2 linked regions of the Lepisosteus oculatus genome follow. The protein of the gene in region 2 interacts with the protein of the main gene of each other region in a pairwise test. Links are inferred from orthologs where the notes say so. Each region holds a gene or a part of one and is shown on either strand. Other genes may lie near its edges. The genes, in order: NADH dehydrogenase [ubiquinone] 1 alpha subcomplex assembly factor 4-like and ndufaf3.

Evidence for each region.
Region 1: the proteins of ndufaf3 (region 2) and NADH dehydrogenase [ubiquinone] 1 alpha subcomplex assembly factor 4-like interact in binary tests that used the Homo sapiens proteins (3 or more experiments, as listed by UniProt). The two-hybrid records come from large-scale screens. The link is inferred for Lepisosteus oculatus from reciprocal best matches to the Homo sapiens genes NDUFAF3 and NDUFAF4.

Annotation. Positions count from the first base shown.
Region 1 is NC_090697.1:6,375,432-6,390,777, reverse strand, and holds NADH dehydrogenase [ubiquinone] 1 alpha subcomplex assembly factor 4-like, read right to left. Parts: upstream 8,355-15,346; 5' UTR 8,292-8,354; coding exon 8,156-8,291; intron 6,952-8,155; coding exon 6,857-6,951; intron 5,479-6,856; coding exon 5,167-5,478; 3' UTR 4,976-5,166; downstream 1-4,975. Other genes in the region: ndufaf4 (NADH dehydrogenase [ubiquinone] 1 alpha subcomplex assembly factor 4), read right to left, coding at 11,409-11,720, 12,324-12,392. UniProt on the Homo sapiens protein: Involved in the assembly of mitochondrial NADH:ubiquinone oxidoreductase complex (complex I). May be involved in cell proliferation and survival of hormone-dependent tumor cells. May be a regulator of breast tumor cell invasion.
Region 2 is NC_090699.1:65,566,752-65,581,774, reverse strand, and holds ndufaf3 (NADH dehydrogenase [ubiquinone] 1 alpha subcomplex assembly factor 3), read right to left. Parts: upstream 3,334-15,023; 5' UTR 3,271-3,333; coding exon 3,182-3,270; intron 2,616-3,181; coding exon 2,423-2,615; intron 2,321-2,422; coding exon 2,254-2,320; intron 2,106-2,253; coding exon 2,005-2,105; intron 898-2,004; coding exon 799-897; 3' UTR 302-798; downstream 1-301. Other genes in the region: dalrd3 (DALR anticodon-binding domain-containing protein 3), read left to right, coding at 12,192-12,425, 13,244-13,542, 14,219-14,517. UniProt on the Homo sapiens protein: Essential factor for the assembly of mitochondrial NADH:ubiquinone oxidoreductase complex (complex I).

The sequences.
Region 1 (15,346 bases), on a different chromosome or scaffold from region 2:
CATTTCTTAGGGTGCTGAAAAGGCTACAGTCTTCACAGATGGAATGATATTTTCCACAGTGTAGTGCAAAACCCAAAGAATCTGCAGAATTTGCACATTGTCCTCAGCCTGTAGCCTTTTTTCAGGTACTGTACCTCTGAGCTGGGAAGCTAAGGGATCCATGAGTCTCATGCAGCAGAATCAAACTGGAGAACCTTAATTGCTGTATAACAGGTAAATTAGGTCCTGGAAAAGGAAAGTAAAAATCCCTCAAATCAATCATTTTCTATTAACAGACAAACTTATTTACTTTCCCAGTAAACTTTACCCAGGTGTAAAAATACTTTTAATGTCCAGTAAAACTAGGGCAATTTTGTTCATATGGTACATTTTCACTCCAAATCACTGTTTCCCCTTCAACAGATGCCAATGAAGAAAACCATAGAGGTGAAATGTGTCCAGTGTCCAATGTGTCCAGCACCCAAATGTCCAGTGGGTGCTGGCAAGCTGTTTTTCACTGGCGTCAACGTTACGAGTCTCTGGCCGGATCTGACAGAAACGAAGTAATGATGGGCCAGGGGAGACCTCCGGGGAAAACTGATTGGCTGCAGCAAAGTGAAGTTGATAGACACTACGATGTTGATTCTACTTGGAGCTTTCTTGTGAACAGTTTTGTCTTTTTATTGTTCCCAAACACAATACCAAAATGAAAATAACCATTACTCCACTTACTGCCCTCAGAGGTACAGTACTTCCTGCAGAGTCCCCCTGTTGGTTTCTAACAACACTCTTGCTATTGTAAAGCTCCCCCTTGATTCAACACAATTACTGCTGCTCTGCCCGCCTGCGGTGTAGTGGGGTTGCTGGTATATTATGGCCCGGGTATTTCAGTGCTCGATGAAGCATGTCCCCCTCCTTTGTAAAAGCACTTTGGGATGAAAAGCACTATATGAATCAGAAAGAATTATCATTAGTGTAAGCAAGAGTCTTGATATCTCGGCAGCACTTTGCCGTGGACAGGGTTGGGCTCAGATGGCAAATGTTCTGTTTTGCTATGAGAAACAAAAATCCAATCCCACTGTTACTAGTCCCACAGGTTGTTGTATTCATATTATGCTATTTATGCATTATGTAGAATTCAATACAAAAAAAATCTGTTGATTTATGTAAAGGTGCGTTTCTGATTTTCTGTTGGATTACTGAGAGTAAGTGCCCTCCTTAAGTTTTTTAATCTACCTGATGTATTTTTATTACAAAGATGCTGTTTTTATATTACATAAGAGGTTTATTCAATCATTTTAAATACATTGATAAGCATTAAAAAAGTGAGTTGCTTAGTCCCAACACTCATTTTGTTGCTTTTTCAATGTCTCTAAGTTTGTGTAGCATGAAAATCTAATGTCGGTTTAGTTTAAATCTATGAGAAATTATAGATTTCTTTTTATCAGTAACAGCTGTTTTGTAGTGACTTCATATTTTGTATGTCCTTTTTTAATGCTGTTGTATTGATTTGTATATATTGACTTTATTGCATGGAAACAAAAGCGAAACGAAGATGGCAATTTTCGGAAAAGGACTAGTTAATTGTTATTTCTGTATTGATGTATTTGTTATTCCACAAGATGTGATTTTTAAAAAAAGCCAATTTTATCAGAGCTGTAATTTTTAACTATAAAAAAATACACAGAAATTGTAATTGAACCTTGTGATATAGGTGGGTTGTTATGCCTACTGATAACTTAAACCAATCCTAACACAGTGTCTCTGAATTATTTTTCATATACTGTATTCTAACTAATGCATTTTTAAATTGATTTCTTACCTATAATCTGTCCTCTGTTTTTTTTTATGAATAAATAGCAGATAGTTTTAAAGATAAGCAGCCAAAGCCAAAAATGTATTTAAAACTTTTCAGTTTTTGGTCAATTCCATTTTTTAACAATTCACATGAGAGAAAAAAGAGGACTTTATTCGCCATATGTACATTTACATTGGGATTTTTATTTGCACTGTGCTCCTGGGATGTGCACACAGATTGAGTTTCTATTACTCAGAAACAGCAGATGTTAGCACTGAAAATAATAGATTGTGTTGCTTACATCTTCCTGCCTTGTGTATAAACTTGCACCTTGCAATACTGAAGTCCTGAGTTAATTAATTGAAAATGTATCTAATGCTTTTTGATAAGAATTCTTTTTTATTTCTAATTACATCTCTTATTCCCAAATGTAAGAGACTACAGAGAACCACAGCATTATTACATGGTTAAAAACTCATTAAAAAATTGCAATGAAATACACATGTATTAACCTCAAGAAGGGAGTAAAACATGATAGAACAAAATGTACAATATTCAGTTTTTTATTGGTGGGCAGTAAAAAAATATAATTTCAAAAACAGAAAAAAAACACATTTGGGAATGCTCAAGGACAGTATCTGTGAGTCAGGATACATTATGACTCATATTCATTGTTGGAGCTAATCTTGCTCTCTGTATCTGAAAATGCAATAAAACCTGTAGTTAAATATTTTTAATCTCTGTGGGCGAAATCTAAACTGTAAAGAAACATTTTATGCTAAGAAATCAAAGGAGAAATAATAATCAAAGTGAAAGAACATAAAAATAAGTATAATAAAAGCACCAATGTGCTGCAATTGTTAGTCAGAAACATACAGCTCAAAAATGTACATTAAAAATAATTCATTTGCAGGTTAACTGTAACTTGTATCACTGAGCAGAACTGCACAGGGCAACATTTCCCTTTCAATACAGAAACAAAATTGTTACAAGAAAACCCATATCTTTAGCAATCAGTAGCTGTCCAAAAGCAATGCCTTTCACTATGATAGATTTTGTATGTATAATGTACAACAGTAAATGATGCAGGGAGAAAGACAGAATCACAGAATAAAAGAAAATAGTTATCATTTGATTTCAGTTTACTATCATTTGACAGATCCCTGTGTACGTTTCCTAAGATAAAATAAACCTAGAATCTACTATTTGTGCTTTTCTGGAGCTGAGAAACAATGCCAAATCTATTTCATAACTGGGAACACTTATGGCAAACTGACTTGGTTGAATAATCAAAGTCAATGATGTAAAAATGAGAAAATACAAATATTCTAAAAAACATGGGGAATTTCTTATAATATCTATGTTCAAATTCGTATATAAAATAATGACTTGAAAGATTTTTCAAAATGAAACAGGAGCATATGATGACATTTAGAAACGGTCGTTTCAGCCATATAGGTCCTTGGGTACTTTAGCTCAAAACAAATGTTTTTTGTTTAACAAGAAATCTGGTTTTAAGAAGGTCAGCATGGTCAGAGCTTCTGGGTCCTGAGTTTATTGCCAGATGGGAGTACGTTCTGAGTAAAGTTGAAAGATTCTTCTCCCGTTTGTGTACGTGCTCACCAGCTGCCCAGGACTCCAGAGAACCGCTGTACAGTATATCACTGTATGTGCACCCTATTTTGTGTCCTGCACTTCCAAGATAGCTTTGTTGTAAGCTTATGTTTTATTATTATTATTATTATTATTATTATAATTGTCAAGTCTCTATATGTCAAGTTTCTTCATCTCAGTTATTTCATAAGGTGACCTGGGTTCAATTCCAAATCTGGGGTGCTGTTTGTGTCCTTCCTGTGCTCACCTAGGTTTCTTCCAAAAGTCCAAAGACTGGTGGCGTCTGGGTAAGTTCATTTGTGAATGTGTGCCTGTCTGCCCTGTGATGGATAGGCTTCCCGTCCAACTTGTATCCTGCCTTGTGCCCATTCCTTGCCTGGGCAGACTCTGGCTCCTCTGTGAGTGGATGAAGCTGTGAGAAAATGGATGGGTTTCATAAAGTACTGTAAAGATGAATGACTTATACAAGAAGAAGAAACATGTCAGACCTTGTACGTATTCAATTCACCGCTGCATTCTCACTACATTACAACACACATCAAGTGGTTATAATTTTATCTACTTGAATGCCTTTTTGCTTAATATATTTTAACTTAATATGGTATAAATTAATGAAATAATCTAAAAGCTTCAATTTTGTGCTGCATCAAACTCTTGCAGGTCCACATTTAAAAACCAGAGTTGCTCTTTTTCACTTGAGCCATTCGCCACATCTATTGATATACTGTACATCTTATCATAGAACATATAGTCCTGGGAAGTTGTTTGTTATCCACACAGCATTTATATTAAATAGTTATTACAATCATATGAAGTATTACTGAGCCACACCTCAAAATTAGGTGACAATGCTCCTGTGATAAATATGTTAAGTCACAGTCAACACCATTCTTCAAGCAGTATTATGAAAAGAAAGGATTACTTGCTAATTGACAGAAATATCAAATATCAGAGGACTATAGGACAAAAAAATGATTTACAAGGACAGTTTTTTTCAATTTCTGTATTATGTCTTCCAAATCAACCCGAGGTCATATCATCTTAGCATTGTAAAATGCAAATGTGTTACATTTAAGTACTGCAGAAACTAACATAAAACAATAACATAATAACCACTTTCTATAAGGTAGCAGCTTTCGTAGCATGCTTTTTTCATACAGCACCAAACCTGCAGAGACCACTTCAGAAAAAAATGTTCAAAATGGTTTGTGTAACTAGTAGTGCTAGTTTATAAGGGTTTAATTTCAATATAGCAAAAGATGCATTTTATGTGTCTTTTTCTGATTTCTGATGTATTGTTTTGCCTACCTGTTAAAATAATTCTGTTTACAAGCCTGTGGGAATAAAAGATTCAGTTTCTATTGATCTGGGATCGATGAGAAAAGACTAAAGTTGGACCAATAAAAGACGAGAGTCTGTGTATATATGTCTGTGTACTGTATATATGTTGCTCATTTACTAATTCAACATTAAAATATGGATTACTTCTTATACAAAGGGACACTTAATATAGTTCAATTCAACCACAAAAAATACAATCACTTTTACAATACAAGAACAGCAAATATGAAATGAAATATTAAATTAATCTTTGCAACATTTTTTTATTCCTTAATCATTTTTATTTAACATTGTTTAAAACCAATCAAGGAACTGCATCTTGTAGCCTGGGCAATGCAGTACAAATGTCCAGAAAATATTAACCAAAAAATACATTTCAAACAAAAGAGGATGATTACATTAATTTTTCTACAACAGATCAGTGATGAAGACTGTTAGTTAGCTTTTATCTGCTTCTTGTCTTCAGTCTTTGGTGGTATAATTTTAACGTCAAAGAGAATGAAGAATTCCAGAAGTGCCTTGGTATCCTTTAAGTCTAAAGAGTACTCTTGGGCTATTTTATTAGGTGTCCAAGATTTAGGAGAGTGTTTGTAGTTGTTGAGGACGGTCAAGGCCTCCACAATGGACAGTTTTCCTTTTGGGATGTCTTTAATGTCCAAAATGCCATAGGGGTTTCCCACTACACGGGATTTGCAAGGCCTGCACTCCTCTTCATTTTTACTTGGAATTTTTGTCTTCATCGGGTTCTGCAAGAATTGAAACACAAGAATTTACAACATGTAAGAAAGAGGAGAAAAAGAGGGAATGAATGTCTTTAGTAATCCCAATGGGCATTTTTTCTATATCGAAAATATAGACAATATAGAAAACACAGAAAACAAACACCACACATAAACATGAACTAGAGAATCATCTCATAAGCAAGGTTATGGCCACAAGATAATAATAAGGAAAAATAAGCAGAATATCACTCAGACCTCTTCTGCATGTACCACATATATTATGATATATGCAGATTAGTTACTCAGAAATCAGTGATCCTCTACCCAGTACAATAATATTTCGTATTCTTAACCTCAAAGTGGCTGAAGGCAAACATTAATAAACAATTGAAGTGATACATACTGTACACTGGCTATCAAATAAGGACTCGCAGCTGTAATTTCTGCCAAATGTGCCTCTAACAAATATTATTTGATTTCAAGGGGGGTGAATACTGCTGGAATCAGTTATTTTCTGTTTTATTTTTTAAATTAATATAGGCAGAGCTGTAGAATTTTGTTTTCACTTTGAAATTATAATGTTTTGTGTCAATAAATGGCAAAAAATCCCATTGATTTCTTATTGCAACAAAATCTAAAAAATCAAGGGGGAGAATACTTTTGAAAGTGACAATACTATTATTCCAGCAACTATATCACCCTGCAACTCACAGCTGTCAGCCCATTGAAGCTCAGCAAGTGTGAGCCTGGTCAGCACCTGGATGGGAGGCAAACTAAGGCTGCTGCTGTAAGAGGTGTTAGTGGTGCCTGTAGGGGGTGCTCTCCCTACAGTCTGTGTGGGTCCTAATGCCCCAGTATAGTGATGGGGACACTATACTGTAAAAAGAAGCCGTCCTTTCGGATGAGACATAAAACTGAGGTCCTGACTCTCGGTGGTCATTAAAAATCCCAGGGTGTTTCTCGAATCGAGTAGGGGTGTAACCCCGGTGTCCTGGCCAAATTTACCATTGCCCCTGACCAATCATAACCTCCTAATAATCCCCATCTATAAATTGGCTTCATCACTCTGTTCTCCTCCCCACTGAGAGCTGGTGCATGGGGAGTGTACTGGTGAACTATGGCTGCTGTCCAGGTGGGGCTGCACACTGGTGGTGGTGGACGGGATCCCAATTAACTTTAAAGTGCTTTGAGTGCGGTGTTCAGAAAAGTGCTATAAAAGTGTAAGCAATTATTTATTATTAATAATACATTATTCATATGGGTTGAATAAATTGGGGGAAAATGGGAATCAAGAGTTAATTAATCAAGGGAGACTGTGAGCTCCTGGCTATATTTTGTCTGGGAAAAGTGAACAGGGCTTTGTTTCACATTGGGATAAGCATTCCAGCAAAACTGTTCTTACCTGTTGGGGAGGGTCTTTTGACTCCACATATACTGTCTTTAGTAATGACAAAAGATGCTCATTCTTCTTATTGATGGATTCAGTAGCCTCAGGATCTATATCAACAAGTGAGAAAGAAAACAATTAAGTAGGTTTTATTTTCTAGAATTCTCTTGTCTTTAAAGCTGACGTTTATTCTCTAGAGTCGACATTATTTCACACCTGTAACACAATAGATTTACCAAACTATAAAGTGAAGTGCTGCACTTACCATCTGCTATGCTTTGCTACAGCTTTGCGAAACAGAAGCCTTAGACATAGATGAGGGTTTTGGAAATATGCTTTTTCCTTTACGCTTTCAAAATCTGACATATCCTGGTCACACCCACACACCAGGGCCAACTTTCCCAGATGCCAATTAACCAACCAATATGTTTTGGGACTGTGGAAGGAAATCCTTGGGAAACCCACGGGGGGGAACATGCAAACTCTACACAGACAGCACCCCAGATCCAGAATTGAACCCAGGGCCCCTGTGTTGCGAGGCAGCAGTTTTAACCACTGCACAAAATATACTGCCCTTGTTAGAACAGGTACAAGAAAAAAGAGCCTTAACTCATTTTGCTTCTTTTTACAGAAATGTGAAGACAGAACTTCCCTTAAGTATATTCTTTAGGTTACCCCCATGGAAAACATCCCAAATGTTCAGGTAATTACAGAATTGACCAACCAATATAAAAACAATTAAAAAACAGTACATCAAGTGCAGCCCCATGTACAATTATACCATGTATGAGATGAATACCTCGTTTAAAATTTCGTTTAGTTAAGTACAACTGCAGGAAGTGGACCTAGTTAATGTTAAAATATTTTCCTTTCAAAATACTTTAAAATTTAAATATTAATCACACATTTATACTGCATTCTTAAGTACAAGGTCACAGCTCAGTTTACATAAAACCCCTTGACTTAAAATTCTTCTTGTTTCAGTTTAACGATGTCGCAAAAAGCTTAACAAATCTAAATCGATACTCTAGTAAGGGAAATGGTCATCGAATTTACTGGTAATTCTTGGCATATTCAATAAATTTACTAAGACTTCAATGTCACTGACATGATGTTGATATTTCAAGAATAAATATCGTTACATTAAATAGGTTAAATGTTAAACAAGGAACATGATTTAAGTAGAGTACATAAGATAAAATATCACAATTATCTATGAAAAAGCATCGCGTGTGTCTGTGTAACTCATTCAATGCACTACACGTTACACAACCTCGTCAATGACAAATTGCTCACTGGTGTTTTTCGACTTACTTTCTTTAATTTGCTGTATGATGCCTTTAGTCAAAGGGTGATGAGGCGCCGCTGAAGGTTTGGATTTGCTTATCTCCTTGTGAGCCCGGTTTTCCAGATTAAAATTTCTGAACGCACGTGAAACACGCGACCCCATATTTCACTTCATAATACAATTTTATCGCACTCCGTGAAACGTTATGGTCAGACAGCCGAACTTTCTACGGAAAGGGACAAGGAACAAACACAACCAACCTTGAAAACCAGTGCATAAAAGACGTCACTCTTGTGTCACAGCGGATGAGTTCAATGCGAGTAAGATCAGGCAGCGAATTTAATATATCCAGAAATAAACATCCGAGACTCTGTATTTCACGATTTATTCTTTTATATCAATAGCCTCCTCATTCGTAGATGGGTCTGTACTTGAGCTTCTGTCTAAATTGAAAAACCTTGAGGTGATATTCGATTCTGGCTTAACATTCGACCCACATGTGCAGCATATTGTCAAAACATCTTTTTTTCACCTCAGAAATATCGCTAGACTACGCCCTGTGCTGTCACTAACTGTGGGTGAAAAGCTGATCAACACATTTGTGTTCTCTCGAATTGACTGCTGTAATGCTCGACTTTCTGGGGTATCTAACTCCACATTGAACAAACTCCAGTTTGTCTAATATTTGGCAGCCAGAATCCTGACGAGGTATAGTGCAAGTGATCACATTACTCCTATCCCGGGGTCCTTGCACTGGCTTCCTGTCAAATTCCGTGTGGACCTTAAAATCCTCATGCTCGCCTATAAGGCTCTGCATGGCTTGGCACCTCAGTACCTGTCTAAACTATTATAGCCCTACTCCCCACATCAGAACCTTCGCTCTTCAAATTCTGCCCTCCTTACTGTCCCCCAAGCCCGTCTACATTGTATGGGCGACAGGGCCTTCTCCTGTTATGCCAACAAGCTCTGGAACTCTCTGCGCAAGGATACCAGAGAGTCACCTTCTCTGAACTCCTTCAAATCCAGACTCAAAACCTTCTTCTTTAGAAGAGCATTTACTTAACTGGTTCCATTCTTCACCCCTCTGCTTTTCCTACTACCCCATCCACGGTCTCCTCTGTATATTGTAATTGTGTTTTATCTTGTGTATTCTTTTAATTTATTGTCGTTGTCATTCTGTAAAGCGCTTTGATAAGCCACCTTTAAAGGCGCTATATAAAATAAGGTTTATTATTATTACCATTCTTGTAATTCCACTGAAACCACACTATAGACTATGAGAACTCTGAGCAACCATATTGTATAAATTGAAATACTATACCTAACAGATGTTTGTTAAGCTGCTAATAAGTAACGATAAAATGCAACATTATAATCTGTAAGGTAAACAATATTTCAGAATATCACCGATTGATAGGATTCGGGACACCGCAGGTTTGTCAATTGTAAACGGCAACTATTCGTTTGCACATATATTTTAATTGTAAATGACTGTGTAGGGCGTTTCCTCTGTGCAGTACATTAGCATTGCTGTCTCGCTACGGTGGGGCCCTGGGTTAAATTGCTGAGATGCTGCATGGCGTTTGCACCCTGTCCCCATGATCACGACGTGGGTTTCCTCCCACAGTCCAAAGACATACTCATATACTCCGGCGTGAGTGTGTTGCATGTCTGTGTCTGCGACCCTGTATTTGGATGAAACGGTTAGAAAATGGATAGATGGATGCACTGAAAATAATGAGGAACGATTTCAAGTGAAATATTTTTTTTTACTTCAAATATATGTAACTTGAGGGGGGGGGGATCTTGAAAAAATAAAATATTGGGCCATAAGAAAAAGATATAGAATTATTTTCGCTCCCAGCTTCTTCCAATTCAGGGTAGCAGGGCAAGGGCAGCCAGAGCCTTTCCAAAGGGCGCACAGAGGGATATATCCCGGACGGACGCGACAGTCCATCACAGGGCACACACACTCACACCGGGAGAATTTTCCTGGAAGCCAGTTAATGTATTTTATTAGTTTAGGGGATGTGTCTGTCTTTTAAGATTGTTTAAATTCGATTTTTAGGCTAGTGAACACAGATCTCACAAATTGGCTTAGCAAACCAATAACCATATAAAACAGAAATGAAATAATTCGCTGTTTGGTGTAGATCAATAAAAGGAAATAGTGCAGCTGTTGACTAAATAAAAAAATGTTTTTTTTAATTAAATAAAAAAATATATTTTTACAGACCCACTGTCCCCGTGAGTTCAAACACTTTTTTGGTAGAGTTTATCACTACGGTCACTGTATTCAGCACTAACTTTCAAGTGGTGTTAATAGGCGTTACCAGAAGGCGGCAGCAAATAACGAGAAAGAATGTGAATTATTATTGAGCCACACCTCAAAATTAGATGACAATGCTCCTGTGATGAATATGTTAAGTCACAGTCAACACCATTCTTCAAGCAGTATTATGAAAAGAAAAGATTACTTGCTAATTGACAGAAATATCAAATATCAGAGGCCTATAGGACAAAAATCTGATTTACAAGGACAGTTTGTTTACAATTTCTGTACTATATTTTCCCAGTTTACCCTGTGGTCATATCATCTTGGCATTGTAAAATGCAAATGTTTAACTACTGCAGAAATTAATATAAAACAATAACATAATAGCAACTTTCTATAAGGTAGCAGCTTTCGTAGCATGCTTTTTTCATACAGCACCAAACCTGCAGAGACCACTTCAGAAAATAAATGTTCAAAATGGTTTGTGTAACTAGCAGTGCTAGTTTATAAGATTTAATTTCAATATAGCAAAAGATGCATTTTATATTTTTTTCTGACTTCTGATGTATTAAGTTTGTTTGCCTACCTGTTTAAATAATTCCATTTACAAGCCTTTGGGAATAAAAGATTCAGTTTCAATTGATCTGGGATCGACGAGAAGAGACTAAAGATGAACCAATAAAAGACGAGAGCCTGTGTATATATGTTGCTCGTGGCTATTTACTAATTCAATATTAAAATATGGATTACTTCTTATACAAAGCAACACATAATGAAGTTTAATTCAACCACAAAAAATACAAGCACTTTTACAATACAAGAATGGCAGATATAAAATGAAATATAAAATGAATCTTTACAACATTGTTTTTATTCCTTAATCATTTTTATCTAATCTCGTTTAAAACCAATCAAGGAACTGCATCTTGTAGCCTGAGCAATGTTGTACAAATGTCCAGGATGATTACATTAATATTTCTAAAACAGATCAGTGATGAAGACTGTTAGTTAGCTTTTATCTGCTTCTTGTCTTCAGTCTTTGGTGGTATAATTTTAACATCAAAGAGAATGAAGAATTCCAGAAGTGCCTTGGTATCCTTTAAGTCTAAAGAGTACTCTTGGGCTATTTTATTAGGTGTCCAAGATTTAGGAGAGTGTTTGTAGTTGTTGAGGACGGTCAAGGCCTCCACAATGGACAGTTTTCCTTTTGGGATGTCTTTAATGTCCAAAATGCCATAGGGGTTTCCCACTACACGGGATTTGCAAGGCCTGCACTCCTCTTCATTTTTACTTGGAATTTTTGTCTTCATCGGGTTCTGCAAGAATTGAAACACCAGAAGTTTACAACATGTAAGAAAGAGGAAAATAAGTGCGAGGGAATAAATGTCTTTAGTATTCCGAATGGGCAATTGTTTACAGCAGCAGACAATATAGAAAACACAGAAAACAACATACACAAACATGAACAAGAGAATCATCTCATGAGCAAGGTTATGGCCACAAGAATATAATGAGGAAAAATAAGCAGAAAAACACGTCTCTGCTGCATGTCCCACACATATTACTGTATGCCTTCTCCAAAAATGCAGATTAGTCAGTCAGAGATCAGTGTTCCTGTACCCAGTAGAATAATATTAAGTATTCTTAACCTCAAGGTGGTAGAAGGCAAACATGAATTAACTATTTATGCAGCATGTGATACATACAGTGGCTATCAAAAGACTGTATGTACGACAAGAAACATTATTTAAGCATAGTACATGAGATAAAATATCACAATTGTCTATGAAAAAACATCGCTTGTGTCTGTGTAACCCATTTAATGCACTACACGTTACACAACCTCGTCAATGCCAAATTGCTCACTGATGTTTTTCGAATTTCTTTTATTTGCTGTATAATGCCTTTGGTCAAGGCGCCGCTGAAGGTTTGTGAGCACAGTTTTCCAGTTTAAAATTTCTGAACGCACATAAAACAAGCGACCCCATATTTCACTTCGTAATACAATTTTATCGCACTCCGTGAAACATTATGGTCAGACAGCCGAACTTTCTACGGAAAGTGACAAGGAACAAACAAAACCAACATTGAATACCCGTGCATGGAAGAGGTCACTCTTGTGTCCACGGATGAGTTAAATGCGAGTAAAACCAGGCAGCGAACTTATTATATCCAGAAATAAACCTCCGAGACTCTATTTTTGACGATTTATTTTCTGATATCAATTCCCCCCTCATTTTTGTACTGAAACCATACTATAGATTATGAGAACTTTGAGCAACCATATTGTATAAATTGAAATACTATACCTAACTAACGTTTGTTAGGCTGCTAATAAGTAACGACAAAATGCAACATTATAATCTGTATGGTAAAAAATATTTTAAAATATAATTGATTGATGGGAGTCGAGACACCGCAGGTTTGTCAATTTTAAACGGCAAATATTCTTTACAAGAATAACACTTCTGCACGTATCTTTTAATTGTATATATGTTGGGCGTTTCCTAAACAGACATTTCTTCTGTCTAGGAACAAGTAATAGGTTTATTCCATGCTGAAAAAAGACATATATACATATAGGGTGGAGGGGTGGCTCTGTAGCTAAGGATCTGTGCCTGTGGCTGGAAGGATGCTGGTTCATATCCCATGGCTGGCAGAGGAATCCTACTCCACTGGGCCCCTGAGCGAGGCCCTTAACCCCAGCTGCTCCAGGGGTGCAGTATAAATGGTTGACCCTGCACTCTGACCCCCAGCTTCCCTCCCTGTCTGGGTGTCTCATGGAGAGCAGGCTGGGGTATGTAAAAAGACTAAAATTCCCAAAACAAGAAATTGTATATGGCCAATAAAGTGATCTGATCTGATCTGAAGTTTGTTGAAAAATTATTTATGACACCTGAAGAAGGCTCCACGGCCGAAACGTTGTGTTCTATTTCTTCTTTTTTTTCAGCATGGAATAAACCTATTACTTGTTCCTTTGCAGCCTACGCACGCTGACGCAGCTACCCACCTGAACTAATTTCTTCTGTCTTATGTCTTCTTGGACATACTGTATTTAATCTTTCTCTAGCTCAGTCTATAGTTCCTTCCTGCTTAAGAAAACCACCATCGTCCCTGTCCCTAAGAAACCCAGAGTCAGTTGCCTTAATGACTGCAGCCCCGTTACACTCACATCAGTTATCATGAAGTGCTTCGAGTGGTCAAAGCATACATCACCTCCTCACTGCCTGACACCCCCAGTCCCACTACAATTTGCGTATCGCCAGAACAGGTCAACAGAAGATGCTATTGCCACTGCCCTCAATACTGCCCTCTCACACCTGGATAAGAAAGGAACATACAGAACTGTATGTGAGAATGGTGTTTATTGATTACAGCTCAGCATTCAATACCATATTGCCCTCAAAGCTTGTCATCAAGCTCCAGGACCTGGGACTGAACACCTCCCTCTGTACCTGGATCCTGGACTTCTTGACAGAACGTCCGCAGGTGGTGAAGGTGGGCACCAACATATCCTCTACCCTGACTCTAAACACTGGAGCCCCCCAAGACTGTGTGCTTAGCCCTGTCCTCTACTCCTTATTTACTCATGATTGTGTCGCCAGGCATAACACAAACTCCATCATTAAGTTTGTAGACGATACAACAGTCATCAGCCTGCTCACAGATGGTGAAGAGTCTGAGTACAGGGAGGAGGTTGAAACCCTGGCGGCATGGTGCCAGGAGAACAACCTCTCTCTGAGCATCAGTAAGACTAAGGAGATGATTATGGATTATAGGAAACACCAGGGAGGAGATCACACACCTATTTACATCAATGGCACTTCAGTGGAGATGGTCAGCAGTTTTAAGTGCCTGGGAGTTAATTAATTTAGGCGATGTGTCTGTCTTTTAAGATTGTTTAAGTTACTGTACATTTTTAGGCTAATGAACACAGATCTCACAAATTAGCTTCGTAAACTATTTTCCACATAAAACAGAAATGAAATAATTGGCTGTTTGGTGTAGATCAATACAAGCAAATATTGAAGCTGTTGACTAAATAAAAAATGTTTTTTAATTAAATAAAAAAATATTTTTGAATATTTTTTGAAACTCGTTGAGTTTATCGCTGCGGTCACTGTATTCAGGACGAACTTTCAAGTGGTGTTAATAGGTATTACCAGTAGGCGGCAGCAAATAACAAGAAGGAAAAAGCCTTTAAAATAGTCATTGCAATCTTTTCCACTTATTAAAAGCAGAGGAAGTGGTAGTTATGTGCTATGATCTCCGATATCTGTCAGAGTTTCTCAGAAACAACGTAACTAAGCTTGAACCTGAGTTACATTTTAAAGAGTGAATGATGATTTCAGGAAAAACGGTCATTTAAATTAATTGTGTGAGGAATACTGCCAACATCTTTAATTCTTGCCATGATTTATATCTCACGAAAATATTTAACCTCCGATATTTTGGTTTTCTAGAGAATACTGCATATTTCCTGAATAGTGATGCAAGATTTATAGAATGTAGAAGTTAATAAAAAAAACTGTTTGCTCGAACATGTGACAAACACTAGTCTCTCATGGAAAAACATGCACAAGCTGTTTGATTTTTTTTCATAATCCACTCCACCTTTATTGCATCAGCATTCTACATGCTACATCTGGGAATAATCTTCTTAATACAGAAAAATGCATGGCCCAACACAGAAAAACACCACATACCACCACATAAAATCAGCCTGGGGAACAAGGAAATCTAAAGTTCTTCACCGATTATCTGACAAACTACGACATTGGCATGTACTATATATTACCTGTACATCAGCACAGTTGAGTGGATCATTAACATGGTTGTTAATTGTTTTTTTTTACCATTTTTCATTCCTTTGTCCATATCTAACAGCAAGGTACAGTATTATAAAGAGGTACAGGAGGCAATAGAGTAGTGCTGGAGTACT
Region 2 (15,023 bases):
TTTGTCTGCTTGCTTGTTAGGACTCACTTATCCAGTTTCTGTGGTCAGTAGTGAGAGGGCCTCTGCTGTCAGGTACCTTTCACAGTTTCCAGCAGCTTCAGCACACATCTTTACTCAACCTTTTCTCAGCTAGCAGGAGTGACACTGTAACGGGCGTGCCCACACTGGGGGGTGACACGATCAGGCAGGCCCTAGTGCATGACTGCTACTGCAGCAGAAACACCCACTTTGTCCAGCTCTCCCCACACTGCTGCAGGACACAGGAGCTGAAGGCCATCCTGTGTATTCAACACACCGGTCCTGTGAGAAAGGGATACTTTATTGACGCTTATTAAATACACCTGTTTAACACACGGCAAACAGCTACCAAGTGACACGAGACACTGACGCACAGAGACCCTGCAGGCTGGCCTTGTGGGCGGAGTTGAGCAGGATCACAGCGACACCATGCCTGTGGGAGTGAGGGACCTGGATGTCGACACACGTGGAAGGAGGGACACAGACAGGCCTCTCTCCTGGATCTGAAGCACGGCTGTTCTCCCACGCAAACCAGGGGCCAGCTCGTCTGCTTGCAAGTGGCTGAAGTGCTTTAACGGTCCTGGTTAAACCCTGAGTGGAGTTTAATACTTCGACAGTTCCTTGCGGTTGTGCTGAGCCCAAGCTGCAGGACAGCCCCAGGGGCATGAGGGGCCGGTCAGGGGCCCCTCCCGCCCGGATACCTTCCTCATGTCCCCCTGGGCGGCGCTGGCCGCACCACTTCCTGTGTGCGTGTGTGGACCCCCCCCCCGCCCTCGGGCCTCAGTCCGCGTCGGTCCTGACGACGGGAGGCGGGATCAAGCCGGCCGCCACGATCCGCCGCTCACTGCACAGGAAGTTGAAGGTGGCGCAGGCGTTGGGCTGGAGAGAGGGGGGGGGGAGGGGGTAGAAAGCATGAGGTGGGGTAAAATAAAGAGGTATTTTCATCAACTAGAGCTTCATCACAAGCCCTGATGAAGGCCTGCACTTAATTACAGCAAATATAAGCAGCCATATCACCCTGCATCTCACAACTGGCAGCCCACTGAAGCTAAGCAGGTGTGAGCCTGGTCAGTACCTGGGTGGGAGACCTCCTGGGAAAAACTAAGGTTGCTGCTGGAAGAGGTGTTAGTGGGGCCAGCAGGGGGCGCTCACCCTGTGGTCCATGTGGGTCCTAATGCCCCAGTATAGTGATGGGGACACTATACTGTAAACAGGCGCCGTCCTTCGGATGAGACGTAAAACCGAGGTCCTGACTCTCTGTGGTCATTAAAAATCCCAGGGCGCTTCTCGAAAAGAGTAGGGGTGTAACCCCGGTGTCCTGGCCAAATTTCCAATTGGCCCTTACCAGGTGGATGCTACACATTGGTGGTGGTGGAGGGGAGTCCCCATTACCTGTAAAGCGCTTTGAGTGGAGTGTCCAGAAAAGCGCTATATAAGTGTAAGCAATTATTATTATTATAAATAGTCTCCTCTTTGTCCCCATCATTATTTCACTAACCCCAAATGCACCTGTCTAGAAGCAGAACAGCTATCTGATGTGGGTGAGGGTCAGCGGACGGCACCGAGAGCAGACCCTGCGCAGGCTGGCGTTGTGCGAAAGGACACGCCAGCCCTCAGCCGATGCGATCAAGCCTGATACACATTTCTCGTCGCACGAGTCCTCATCCAAAAATAAGTCTCACGACTTGCTTCTTCAAAAAGAAGTCTTGAGCCTCTCCCAGTCTGGCCTGTTTTCTATCACCCATTTCGCACGGCGCTGCTGGGAAGACATGCCCATCGAAGCCCTGCTGTAACTGCCTGTAGAAACTACAGTTCCCACGGGGCCGCTGTCTCGGGATCTGGGATTAGCACAGTTTAGTCCGGATGAACGGAACAGGTCAAGTGCGATTTGTAAGATGGCAGCTTCTTCCTCTGAACAACTGCAACGCCCCACACTCCCCGTCCGCCATGTGTCCCCATGTCCAGCAGCTGCCCACCCCGCCTCACCGTGTCCTGGACCTCCACCGCGATCCCCTTCCTCCTCATGAACGCCAGAACCTGCGGGTCGAGGCGCTCCACGCTGGCCCCTGTCCCCAGGACCAGGATCTCTGGGACCAGAGAGAGAGAGAGAGAGACGGTGCTGCAGCAGTGTGACGGACACAGGGTCTTACACAGAGGTGCTGTTCTCCTGCACTGCCACACAGGGGCGGTACAGACACCGTACAGGTACGACACGGTGCACTCTCTCTCTCTCACCTATCCTGGGCTCCAGCAGGTGGAACAGGGCCAGGCTCTCTTCACAGATGTCTTTGTAACTGCCCACCTGCAGGGGGAGACAGAGAGAGAGGGGTAGTAACAGGGGAGAAACACAGAAACAAGAAGGCAGAGAGACAGTCACGCACTGAGCAGTTCAGTACACACTGACATTCCACTGCAGGATGGCAGGGGGCAGCAGAGCACAGGGTCCGAGCACTCGGTTCCCATCCACCAGGAACCCCCGGGGGCTGTAGCTCTGGATCAGAGCCGCACCCCCTTCCTTTTGCAGAACCGACACCGAGGTCCGCTGGTACAGCTCATCATCGCTGGGGGTCAACCTGTGAGAGCGGCTGAGGGGGGGGCTGAGAGACACGTGGAGAAAACAGAGGGAGAGGAGAGAGAGAGACAGGGAGATGGGAGAGGAGGGGAGAGAAGAGAGTGGAAGGAAGGCGTGATGGAAAGGAGAGATGAGAGGGGAGAGAGAAACAACACAAGAACAAAGAAGCCGTCAGTTATAATACTGAGAAAGTCTGAAACCCAGTAGAATGTGCCAAAATTCAGGAGTCAAAAAATACTAAAAAGAAAATCTATACTGTAATTGCACACAGGCCTCCAGCTTAACAAAATCCGCGTTCGGGCAGCTCGTTTCAGATTTTGATCCCCAAAAGCGATGAAGAGAATCTCCTACGGCATGAGATCCTTTTACAGTACCGGGAACATTTCAGTCGAACTCACTCAGAACTTAAACAACCAAATCAATAACCAAGGTCGGTCCCGCACAGGAGCGCAGAAACCCGTCTGGAAGTCCACCTGATCTCTCCAGGCGCAGAACGAATGCGAGCGCTAACGAAGGTCAAACAGTGTTGAAAAGCGCGTTTTTAGTGTTACTACAAAAGCGCAGACGCACACCGCGATAGGAGCGTCTTACCTTGTGGTAGCGGGCAGCGCCCCCCGTCCAAGCCGAAGACCGGGCGCCGAACCGCGGGACAGCAGCCGAACGCACCCCGCCAGCGCCATGGCTCCTCCAGCACGGAACCGCACGACAGCCGAGGAGGCCGGAGGGAAGAGATTTACTGCGGCACACACACTGCGGGGGCCGGCGGAAGAGACGGAGGGCCGATGGGAAGGTGGAGGAGCGTCGACGTTGACGTAAAGCGGTTGGTGCTGCCCCCTACTGGCACGGAAATGAACTCGCCTTGGCTAAAATAATACGGGCTCTGCTTTGAGCGTCGAAGACAGATCGTCTCGTCCAAAATCATTTCGCTGTGTGCTTAGTGCTAATAATAATAATAATAATAATAATAATTGCTTACACTTATATAGCGCTTTTCTGGACACTCCACTCAACGCGCTTTCCAGGTAATGGGGATCCCCTCCACCCCCACCTGGAGTACCTTCTAAAGGAACGTTTTCTAAAACTAATAGCAAAATGGCCAACACGAATGTTCTTAATGTTCAGCTTCTGTCCCACTGCAGAGCCTCTGACTCCACACACATCTGCACTCTGCACAGTCTACCATGGTTTTTCCCCTCACTACTACATATTGATTGTTCCTGTTGTTACTATTGATTATGTCTGTACTGTACTGTCTACACTGTGTGGTGTTGTCTGTTGTAGTGTCTGTCCCGAGAGATCAACGCGATTAAGAATTCCAATGTACGTGTACACATGGCCATAATCAACCAATAATAATAATAATAATTGCTTACACGTATATAGCGCTTTTCTGGACACTCCACGCATATATAGAGGTGTAGAGGTCAAAGTTCACGAGTGTGCGCAGTGTAGAAGTCAAAGTTCACGAGTGTGCGCAGTGTGGAAGTGTAAGTTCACAAGTGTGCGCAGTGAAGAGATGTAAGTTCACAAGTGTGTGCAGTGAAGAGATGTAAGTTCACAAGTGTGTGCAGTACAGGGGTGTAAGTTCATCATTGTGCGCGGTGAAGATGTGTAAGTTCACGAGTGTGTGCAGTATAGGGGTTTGTAAGTTCATGAGTGTACCCAGTGAAGAGGTGTAAATTCACGAGTGTGCCCAGTATAGAAGTGTAAGGTCACAAGTGTGCGCAGTGAAGAGATGTAAGTTCACGAGTGTGTGCAGTACAGGGGTGTAAGTTCGTCAGTGTGCGCAGTGAAGAGGTGTAAATTCACGAGTGTGCCCAGTGTGGAAGTGTAAGTTCACAAGTGTGCGCAGTGAAGAGATGTAAGTTCACAAGTGTGCGCAGTGAAGAGATGTAAGTTCACAAGTGTGTGCAGTGAAGAGATGTAAGTTCACAAGTGTGTGCAGTGAAAAGATGTAAGTTCACAAGTGTGCGCAGTGAAGAGATGTAAGTTCACAAGTGTGTGCAGTGAAGAGATGTAAGTTCACAAGTGTGTGCAGTGAAGAGATGTAAGTTCACAAGTGTGCGCAGTGAAGAGATGTAAGTTCACGAGTGTGTGCAGTACAGGGGTGTAAGTTCGTCAGTGTGCGCAGTGAAGAGATGTAAGTTCACAAGTGTGTGCAGTACAGGGGTGTAAGTTCGTCAGTGTGCGCAGTGAAGGGATGTAAGTTCACAAGTGTGTGCAGTACAGGGGTGTAAGTTCGTCAGTGTGCGCAGTGAAGGGGTGTAAGTTCGTCAGTGTGCGCGGTGAAGGGGTGTAAGTTCGTCAGTGTGCGCGGTGAAGGGTGTACGTGTAGGTGTGGGAGTGTTCCCGGAGCAGCTGTTGGTGTGTGCCCCGCTTGGCCAGCGTGAGTAAACAGGCTCTTCCAGTCTCTCTTCCCTCTTCGGTCGAAAGCAGAAGTGAGTGGTGAGGTGCCAAGGGGAACAGGGAGAGAGAGACTTGGCCTGCCTGGCACACGGCGCCACGGAGCTGGAAGAGTCTGCAGCACAAAGCACAGTCCTGGCAGAGGCGGGCAGTGGGTCCCCAGTGGGTTTAGGCGAAGCTGGTGAGGCGTGCAGGACGGCACATCAGGAGATCCTCCGTCACGGGTTCGCCTTTCCAAGCTCAGCCTCCCCCTCGGGCCGTGATCAGAGCTGGCCTGGGTGGGGGCAGGCGGGCGTCATTTGTGTCGCTGACTCCTTTCCCAGGAGTAAATGCTTTCAATCCTGAAGGTGCCGCGGTCCCAATGTGTCCGTTAGAAATTGTCAGCTGCTGAGGTGGAGTTCAACCAGTTCACCTCAATTAAAACGGAAATGGTTCAGGCTGAAAGACTGGGGTTTAGTGCTGTATCTTATACATAGCTGAAAGAGGACAGTCAAATCCAGGTATGTTATCTATATGTAAAACTTAGATCTTACAGCATAGGAAACATGTACTACAGACAGACAGCAGAACAACAGAGAGTAAGAAACCCAGACAGACAGAAGAACCACAGACAGACAGCAGAACCACAGACACCCAGAACCTCAGGCATATAGACTGACCCCCAGGCCATTCAGTTCCCCAGGTCTGGTCAGTGTTCCATACACCGATTGACTCTCACAGTACTGAGCACAGCCCATTACACTGAGTGACTCTCTCACAGTACTGACCACTGCCCATTACACTGAGCCACCGTCTCACTGTACTGACCACTGCCCATTACACTGAGTGACCGTCTCACAGTACCGACCACTATCTGTTACACTGAGTGACTGTCTCACAGAACTGACCACTGGCCATTACACTGAGTGACCGTCTCACTGTACTGACCACTGGCCGTTACACTGAGTGACCGTCTCACTGTACTGACCACTGGCCGTTACACTGAGTGACCGTCTCACTGTACTGACCACTGGCCGTTACACTGAGCTACCGTCTCACAGTACTGACCACTGGCCATTACACTGAGTGACTCTCTCACAGTCACAGTGACTTACTCTCTCTCACTGTACTGACCACTGGCCATTACACTGAGTGACCATCTCACAGTACTGACCACTGCCCGTTACACTGAGTGACCGTCTCATTGTACTTACCACTATCTGTTACACTGAGTGACTCTCTCACAGTACTGACCACTGCCCATTACACTGAGCCACCGTCTCACTGTACTGACCACTGCCCATTACACTGAGTGACTCTCTCACTGTACTGACCACTGCCCATTACACTGAGTGACCATCTCACACTACTGACCACTGCCCGTTACACTGAGTGACCGTCTCACTGTACTGACCACTGCCCGTTACACTGTCCCGCAGTGCTGATAACTGTCAAGCCGTAAGAAGTTTCCACCTGCCTCCTAGATTTCTGCTGCCCGAATACAGCAGGGAATTATAGTGCTTGACAGGGGTCAGATCTGGAGTCAACATTATCACCACATCACATTGTCTCTTCTTCTACGGAAGCAATGTGCAAGAGTCATCAGGATGTTTGGATGTCGAGTTAAAAGCATTCAAATTGCCCGACGTGTCAGGTGAGCCTTGTCTCCAGTACTGTGGAGTCTGGCTCCAAGCCGCTGGTGACAGTTGCAGAAGCAGCTCCATGGATGTTCTGGATCACTGGGCTGAGACTAACAGATGGTCCACAGAGGCCTCAGTCCCGGCGGTTCTGCGCCTGTGTTTCACCGTGAATTCTCGGGGAAACCTGAAAGGCCAGGTGGAGAAACTGAAAAGCGGGACGGGTCGGACAGACATGGGATTCTGAGCGACATTTCCCAGGCGAGTATCCCACCGCTGAAACCACGGGACTTTCCAGCCTCATTCCAGCAACGTCATCTGATCTTCCCAAGGGGGTTGGGGTGGGGGCACTGATAACTGATACGGCACCCCTCCCCCAAACCCAATCTGCTACCTACAGGAACATGCTTTTCAATCACACCCAGCTGCCGAGAATCCAAGCCTGCTCCTAGCACAATGTGGCGAATTCCCTATACATCAAATTAACTGAATTGGGCATTTCAGGTGGTACGGTGGTAGGGCAGTGTGCAGTCCTGGGGCCCTGGGTTCGATTCCCGACCTAGGGTGCTGTGTGCGTGGAGTTTGCATGTTCTCCCCGTATATATATGTGTGTGTGTGTGTGGGGGGGGTGTCCTCCGGGCGCTCCAGTTGCCTCACATTTTCCAAAGACATGCTGGTGGGTTAATTGGCTTCTGGGAAAACTGGCCCTGCTGTGAGTGACTGGCGTGCCACCCAGAGCGTACCTCGCCTTCTGCTCATTGCGTGGCAGGATAGGCCCCTGCGGCCCTTTCAGTCTACTGCTTAACTCACAGCTCAGGTGGCAGTGGGACATGTCCGCTCTCCATCTGGAGACTGGGAGCACTGGGCACTTCAATGAGTGACTTGACAGGAAAGGATCACTAATGCTGATCTCACCAGGGACGACAACGTCCAAGAACAGGGCGCTTTGAGCATGTGGGGGGGGGGATCTGGGGGGGCAGGTTTGGCTCGGCCTGCTTGGTCAGCGGTCAGCCTCCTGGCCACAGGGCGAGGAGCTCGGACCCCATTCGGGAGTGACCCGGGGGCAGAAGCAGGGAGGAGATGGGCTGGGGGGGACGCCTGTGAAGGGAGGGGTTTGTGCTTGATATGTAGAGCTAATTTCTGTAATGACGGTGATCAGGTACCGCCGTGTGAGATTGACTTGTCCTGGTTATCCCTCCCGAACTTCAGAGAATAACTTCCATTAAATATGCTTTCTAGAATAGCGAGTAGGCCTGTTTGAGGAAGAGCAATCTGGTCCTGTGCTGGGCACCTCCTGGGGGTCATGACCCTGGAGGAGAGCAGGGTGCCGGGCTGGGGCAGAGGGGGAGAGAGGGGGACTGAGGGCACAGAGGCGGACAAGTGGGGGCAGAAGAGGTGGAGAGAGCAAGAGAAGTGGAGGAGAGAGGGAAGAGGGTTGGAGCGAGGGAGGGAGGGGCAGCCAGAGAGGTTACAGAGGATTCAGTTACAGAGAAAAAGAAAGTGAAAATGACTCTCAGCCTGGCTGACAAGAGGAAGTCAGGGCTCATAAATACGGCAGGGGCTTCGCTGGGTTCCAGCACAGCGGGCGGACGGCGGAGGGGCTGGCGGATCAGGCGCACCGCGTGCCCAGAGACGGTGAGTTGCCTTCGATCCGAGAGCTGTGGGCCCCTGGGCGTTTCTCTGAGCAGTCTGGCACGGCCAGGTCTGGATCAGCGCGCGCTGCTGGGGTACCGCGACCCCTCGCTCTTTTGTCTGAGTGTGGGGGGTCAGGGTACACACCGCAACACAGAAACCTGACGTACTTCACGGGGAAGAATATAGAATCCGTTACAGCCTGATGTCGTGACTGGAAGGAAAAATCGTTTCTCATCTCAAACGAGCAATCTGCCGTCTTCGTTGGCTGAATTTTTAAAACGGTGCCCCCGTTTTTCGCTTTAAATTTAGAAAGCGTTTTCTCTGCTGCAGCATGGCGTGAAATTACATTTCTCTTGTTATCTTGTTTTTAATCTTTCCTTCACGTGTCCACCTCTGAATGAGACAGAGACTGGGAGAGAGACAGAGAGACAAAGAGAGACAAGTGAGACAAAGACTGAGAGAGCTTATTGCTAGAACTTTAGAAACATTGTGTTTTGTTGTCCACATCAGTAAAGCTTTTTGGATCTGGATTGGAGAAACAGAGTTTGGCAACATTCATTCATCACACAGGCCAGTACAGCTCTTTGAATTTCAATACAGCTGTAGCCCAGTATGTGATCACCTGTCACACCCTAAGGAGCGCAGAGCACGCCTCTCTAACACTAATAATAACACCACAGAAAATAGTATTGTTGTAAATACGTGCAGTTGCTTTCTTATTGTTTTGGCAACAGTGTGATTCCTCAGACACGCCAGCGATTCTCTCTGAAGGCAGAGAGGGAGAGAAAGAGATAGAGGATGTTCCATGTGGAAAGCTTTGGCAGCGTGTTGGACATATTACATTAAAACAGATTTGACTGGAACTGGGAGGGAGAGGGAAAAGGATAGGAAACTGTAACGGTAGAAGTTTTTATTTGCCCTGCTGCAGCACGAAGAGATTGTGTCTGTCCGTCTTGGTTAAAGGTTAAAGGTTACATTAGACCTGAGCAGAGCACAAGAACACAGCCTGAAAAGCCGATACCACGCCAGTCCTAGACTTCGCTGTCTGACGGGGCTGTCCAGCACAAGAGCTCCAGGACGGGACACAGACTCCTGTCCCACCCGGGCTTGATGCTGTGTGGAAGTGTCTTTGGGCTCAGGGATGGGAGGAGCTCTTGGGGAACTATGGCCCCCTCTTGTCACCTGCTTGCAGTAACTTCTGCTCTTCCCATTAGCGGCCTCTCCTGCTTTCTCCCTGGCTGGTGCTGAGGTCACGTGACGGCGCCCCCGCCGGCCGCGGGCAGGCCGAAGACAACCGCTCAGACACGTCCCGATGATGTCAGCGTGCGGGTCGGTAACGGAACCCATAATGCAGCTGTTACCGAGACGACCCAGCTGATTGCGGGTTCCGTACCCACTCCTACGCCATGGCAACGGGCAACCCCAGGAAGACCAGGAACCAGGAAGGGGGGAGTGGGAGGCAGAGAGGGAGGGTGAGGGGCAGGAGAGGAGGGGGAGAGAGGGGCAGGAGAGGGGGGGAGTGTGTGCCTGTGTGCCGGCGTGGGCAGCTTACAGTGTGTGTACAGTACTGTATGTGTGCGGGCGCACTCCACCACAAACAGGAAGCAGGCCGTGTGGGTGTGCTAGTCAGTTACTGAAAGTGAAAGAGTCCGAAACCGGGGCTTTCCAGAACAGAGGAGAGCTGGGGGAGGGGCAGAGAGAGGGAGAGAGAGACAGGAGAGGGGCAGAGAGAGAGAGACAGGAGAGGGGCAGAGAGAGGGGGAGAGAGACAGGAGAGGGGCAGAGAGAGGGGGAGATACAGGAGAGGGGCAGAGAGAGGGAGAGAGAGACAGGAGAGGGGCAGAGAGAGGGAGAGAGAGACAGGAGAGGGGCAGAGAGAGGGAGAGAGAGACAGGAGAGGGGCAGAGAGAGGGAGAGAGAGACAGGAGAGGGGCAGAGAGAGGGGGAGATACAGGAGAGGGGCAGAGAGAGAGAGAGATGGGAGAGGGGCAGAGAGAGGGAGAGAGAGACAGGAGAGGGGCAGAGAGAGGGGGAGAGAGACAGGAGAGGGGCAGAGAGAGAGAGAGATGGGAGAGGGGCAGAAATAGACAGGAGAGGGGCAGAAAGAGGGAGACAGACAGGAGAGGGGGCAGAAATAGACAGGAGAGGGGCAGAGAGAGAGATAGAGAGAGAGATGGGAGGGGGCAGAAATAGTGAGACAGACAGGAGAGGGGGCAGAGAGGGGCAGAAATAGACAGGAGATGGGAAGAAATAGACAGGAGAGGGGGCAGAAATAGTGAGACAGACAGGAGAGGGGGCAGAGAGAGAGAGAGAGACAGGAGAGGGCAGTAAGATAGAGAGATAGGAGTGGGGGGTATAAAGAGACAGAGGGGACAGAAGGACAGAAAGAGACGGAGCAGTGTGGAGGGAAAGAGGTAACTGGGGTAACAGAGAGAGGGAGGCAGAGGCCCTGCAGAGACAGGTGTCAGCTGGAGCAGGGGAGGGGCTGCAGGCAGATGTCCTGAAGGAACAGCCGCTCCTCTATGATGTGCAGGTGCTCTCATTGGCTGGGAGTGATGTCACGGAGGGAGGCTGCACTCTGGAATGACACGTTTTCTCCCGGTTCGCCAGACCCACAGGAGCCATCGGGAAACTCGTGTCAGCCAAGACTGACGGCCCAGGACACCCGTCGAGGCAGAGAGAGGGCCGTAGTGTCGCTGTCCAGTCACAGCCGGCCGGGCCCCCTCATACAAGGTGCTCTGAGAGTAAGGTTAGGCGAGAGGGTTTGGGGAATTCTGGTCCACATTTGCTCCGATCGCTCATGTGCATGACAAACCCTTTATCCCCCGTCCTCAGTGCTTGGCTGTGACCAGGTGGACAGCATATTGGATTCACTGGCTGGAGAAGACACCACTAACACGATCCCTTCATTCCCAAGAAAGAGAAGAATCAGAATGACTACTGTCACATGAAAACACACAAACACTCACACAAAGACAGACAGGGCTGGATGTGCAGCTAACTGAAGAACATAGGAGTGCCACTCAGATCATTCTGTTTTGGATATAAACATTTGACATCATGGGGCGGTGAGGTGTCTCTATGGCTTAGGATCTGCGCCTGTGGCTGGAAGGTTGCCAGTTCGTATCCCGCGGCTGGCAGAGGAATCCTACTCCGTTGGGCCCCTGAGCAAGGCCCTTAACCCCAACTGCTCCAGGGGCGCCGTATAAACGGCTGACCCTGCGCTCTGACCCCCAGCTTCTCTCCCTGTTTGTGTGTCATGGAGAGCAAGCTGGGGTCTGCGATAAGACAGATTCCTAATACAAGAAATGGAATATGGCCGATAAAGTGATCTGATCTTGTGTCTTGCTACCTGTCATTGTTTTTGCAACACTGTAATTCATTCATGAAAAAGTGAAAGAAGAAGTGTTAGAGAATGTTAGAGAGTGTCACAGGGAAGTGTAATTGCCGTAACCCAGAGACAAAGTGAGAGACACAAAAACAGGACCTACACCAAGGTCTTAGCAATGTTTGTCGAAATTGCCTTACTTAGTTAATCTTTCGTCGAGCTCTTGAACACATTGTATGAACTTTATGACAAACACAATAAATGATATTTAATACAAAAGTAAACACTTGTTTGGTTTTACTTTATATATATACGCGTTATTATTTTAAAAGATTGATTAGAAAAAGTCGACTTTTGACAGCTTTAGCCACACACAAGATGGCGACGATGTGACTCCAGGACCAAAACGTCACGTGTCGAGATTGTTGCTCTCGGGTGAAATTCCCCCCGAAAACAACGGGTAACGACTGCAAGGTTCCACCCGGGAGTGAATTTTCACGAGCTGGAAACGTGTACTGAAGACTGTAGGGTTATTAACTGATGTAAGAAAAATATATTTAAAAAAAAAAGAAATGATTTATTTTTAACTTGAGAAAACGGTCGCGCTTTCGTATGCATAATGGAGGGTGCGGAGGGGTCGCCCCTTCGGATCAGCTGCACGGTCCGAGCTCTGAGCTCCGCGCTGCGGGGCGACCTGGAGGCTGACGCCGGCTCGCAGCGCTCCCCGCTCGGCCGGAGCAGCTCGGCCGGCCCGGGGGGGCTCTGGTTCAAGGAGAGCAGCGCGAAAAACCTCCGCAGCAGAGATTTCTTAGCGCCGGCCGCCGTGCTGAAAAAACTGTACCCCGACGGGCAGGTAAGTGGCTGTCGCGCCGGGCTGGACTCGGATGTGAGAGTTTTCCTTCGCCGGTGTTTCGCTGCCGGGCACCGGCCCGTCATCTGACGGCGGACAGGGTCCCCGGGCCCGCGACTGGACCGGACTGGACCCGCTCGCTGCACCGCGGCGTGAAGCCGACAGCGCTGAGCTCCGTGCTGCTGGGAGCGGAGGGGTGGTAGTGGAAGAATATACAGATGGAGGGGTAGAGGAGTGGATAGAGGGATCTAGTGATGGCAGGGTCTCTAGAGGATCGAGGGGTCTCTAGAAGATAGAGGGATCGAGGGGTCTAGAGGATCGAGGAGGGATGGTGGGGTCTCTAGAGGATCGGGGAGGGATGTTGGGGTCTCTAGAGGGGTCTCTAGAGGATCGAGGAGGGATGGTGGGGTCTCTAGAGGATCGAGGGGTCTCTAGAGGATCGAGGAGGGATGTTGGGGTCTCTAGAGGATCGAGGAGGGATTGTGGGGTCTTTAGAGGATCGAGGGGTCTCTAGAGGATCGAGGAGGGATGGTGGGGTCTCTAGAGGATCGAGGGGTCTCTAGAGGATCGGGGAGGGATGGTGGGGTCTCTAGAGGATCGAGGGATCTCTAGAGGATCGAGGAGGGAAGGTGGCGTCTCTAGAGGGGTCTCTAGAGGATCGAGGAGGGATGGTGGGGTCTCTAGAGGGGTCTCTAGAGGATCGAGGGGTCCCTAGAGGATCGAGGAGGGATGGTGGGGTCTCTAGAGGATCGAGGAGGGATGGTGCGCAGGCAGACAGAGAGCCGGTGACAGGCCCCTGTTCCCCCGTGTGTGTGCCACAGGTCCCGGGGCCCGTGGTCCAGAGACTGCTGTCCCTGCAGGCGCCGGGCCTGCTCCCGCTGGGGGCGTGTGAGGCGAGCGCAGCGGGGCTGCGGGTTCGAGCCGATCGCCCCGCCGTGTTCCGGGACGTCCTGGAGCACCCCTCCCTGTACCTGGGCCCCCCCCCGGGGCAGCTGGGCAGGGGGGTGGTGCTGAACTGCCCCGTCTTGCACCCCCGGCCCTCCTCCAGCTCCCTCTCTCTCGGCCAGCTGCGCGCTGTGCTCGTCACTGACCACCTGGCGGCGCTGTTTCGCAAGCAAGGGTGAGTAGAGCTGGGGGGGGGCGCTGACTGACTGTTGACTAGACTGATTTTTGTAGTTTTTCTCTGGCGGTGATGCCAGGGACACATTTTTACCTCTTTGGATGGCCAGCAGAGTTACTGTTGTATACAACGTAAAAGCAAAACAGAGATCGGAAGGGAGAGGCAGAGGCAGGAGAGGATGTGGTTACAGACGAAGGAGGACGAGTCTGTCCAGCTCGGTGAAATGCATGGAAAATCGGTGTCTGTGTGTGTCTCTCCGTGTGTGCGTCTCTCTCTGTCTCTCTCTGTGTGCGACTCTCCGTGTGTGCGTCTCTGTGTGCATCTCTCTGTCTCTCTCTGTCTCTCTCTGTCTCTCTCTGTCTCTCTCTGTCTCTCTCTGTGTGCGTCTCTGTGTGCGTCTCTGTGTGCGTCTCTGTGTGCGTCTCTGTGTGCGTCTCTCTCTCTGTGTGCCCTGCAATGGGCTGCCATGTTGTCCTAGGTGTATCCTGCTTTGCACTCATTCCTTCCTGGGATAGCCTCTGGCTCTCCTGGGACCCTGTACTGGATCAAACTGTCAGAAAATGGATTGGCAGAACTGATAATGATGATGGTACAGGCTAATATACCGAGAAGTAACCTGCCAATAACAATTGTCTTGTTCACTCCATCTCTGTGTCACGCTGCCTGTCTCTCTCAGGTTCAGTGTCTCCCTGTGCCCGGTCCTAGAGGAAGGAAGTGACATCATCTCATTTCTCCGACTGCTGGGAGTTGATTGGCCCACGGTGTCCACGGGGTGGACCAATCGGGAGACAGAGCAAGCGCTGTGGGAGGCTCTGCTGAAGTCCCCCTACGCTGAGGAGGCAGGAGCTGGTGACCTTGAGGCGGCAGGGGGTGCCAGCAGTGAGAAAGTGGGGAGACGCATACGTGTGGACATCAGGAGGGTGATCCAGGAGCAGAGGCTGCAGGGATACGATCCCAGTCTGACCACCTGCCTGGGTGAGAACGCCACTGCACTCATTGGGCACTCTTGCTATATCACATTCTCTGTGCATCTCACTCAGTGACGTCACTGGACACTCTTAGCTTCACTGTACCCCACTGTCAACATTACTGGACACTCTTGTCCTGTCTCACTGTCACTGTGCCCCTCTGTCAACATCACTGGACACTCTTATCCTGTCTCACTCTCACTGTACCCCTCTGTCAACATCACTGGACACTCTTATCCTGTCTCACTCTCACTGTGCCCCTCTGTCAACATCACTGGACACTCTTATCCTGTCTCACTCTCACTGTACCCCTCTGTCAACATCACTGGACACTCTTATCCTGTCTCACTCTCACTGTACCCCTCTGTCAACATCACTGGACACTCTTGTCCTGTCTCACTGTCACTGTACCCCTCTGTCAACATCACTGGACACTCTTATCCTGTCTCACTCTCACTGTACCCCTCTGTCAACATCACTGGACACTCTTATCCTGTCTCACTCTCACTGTAC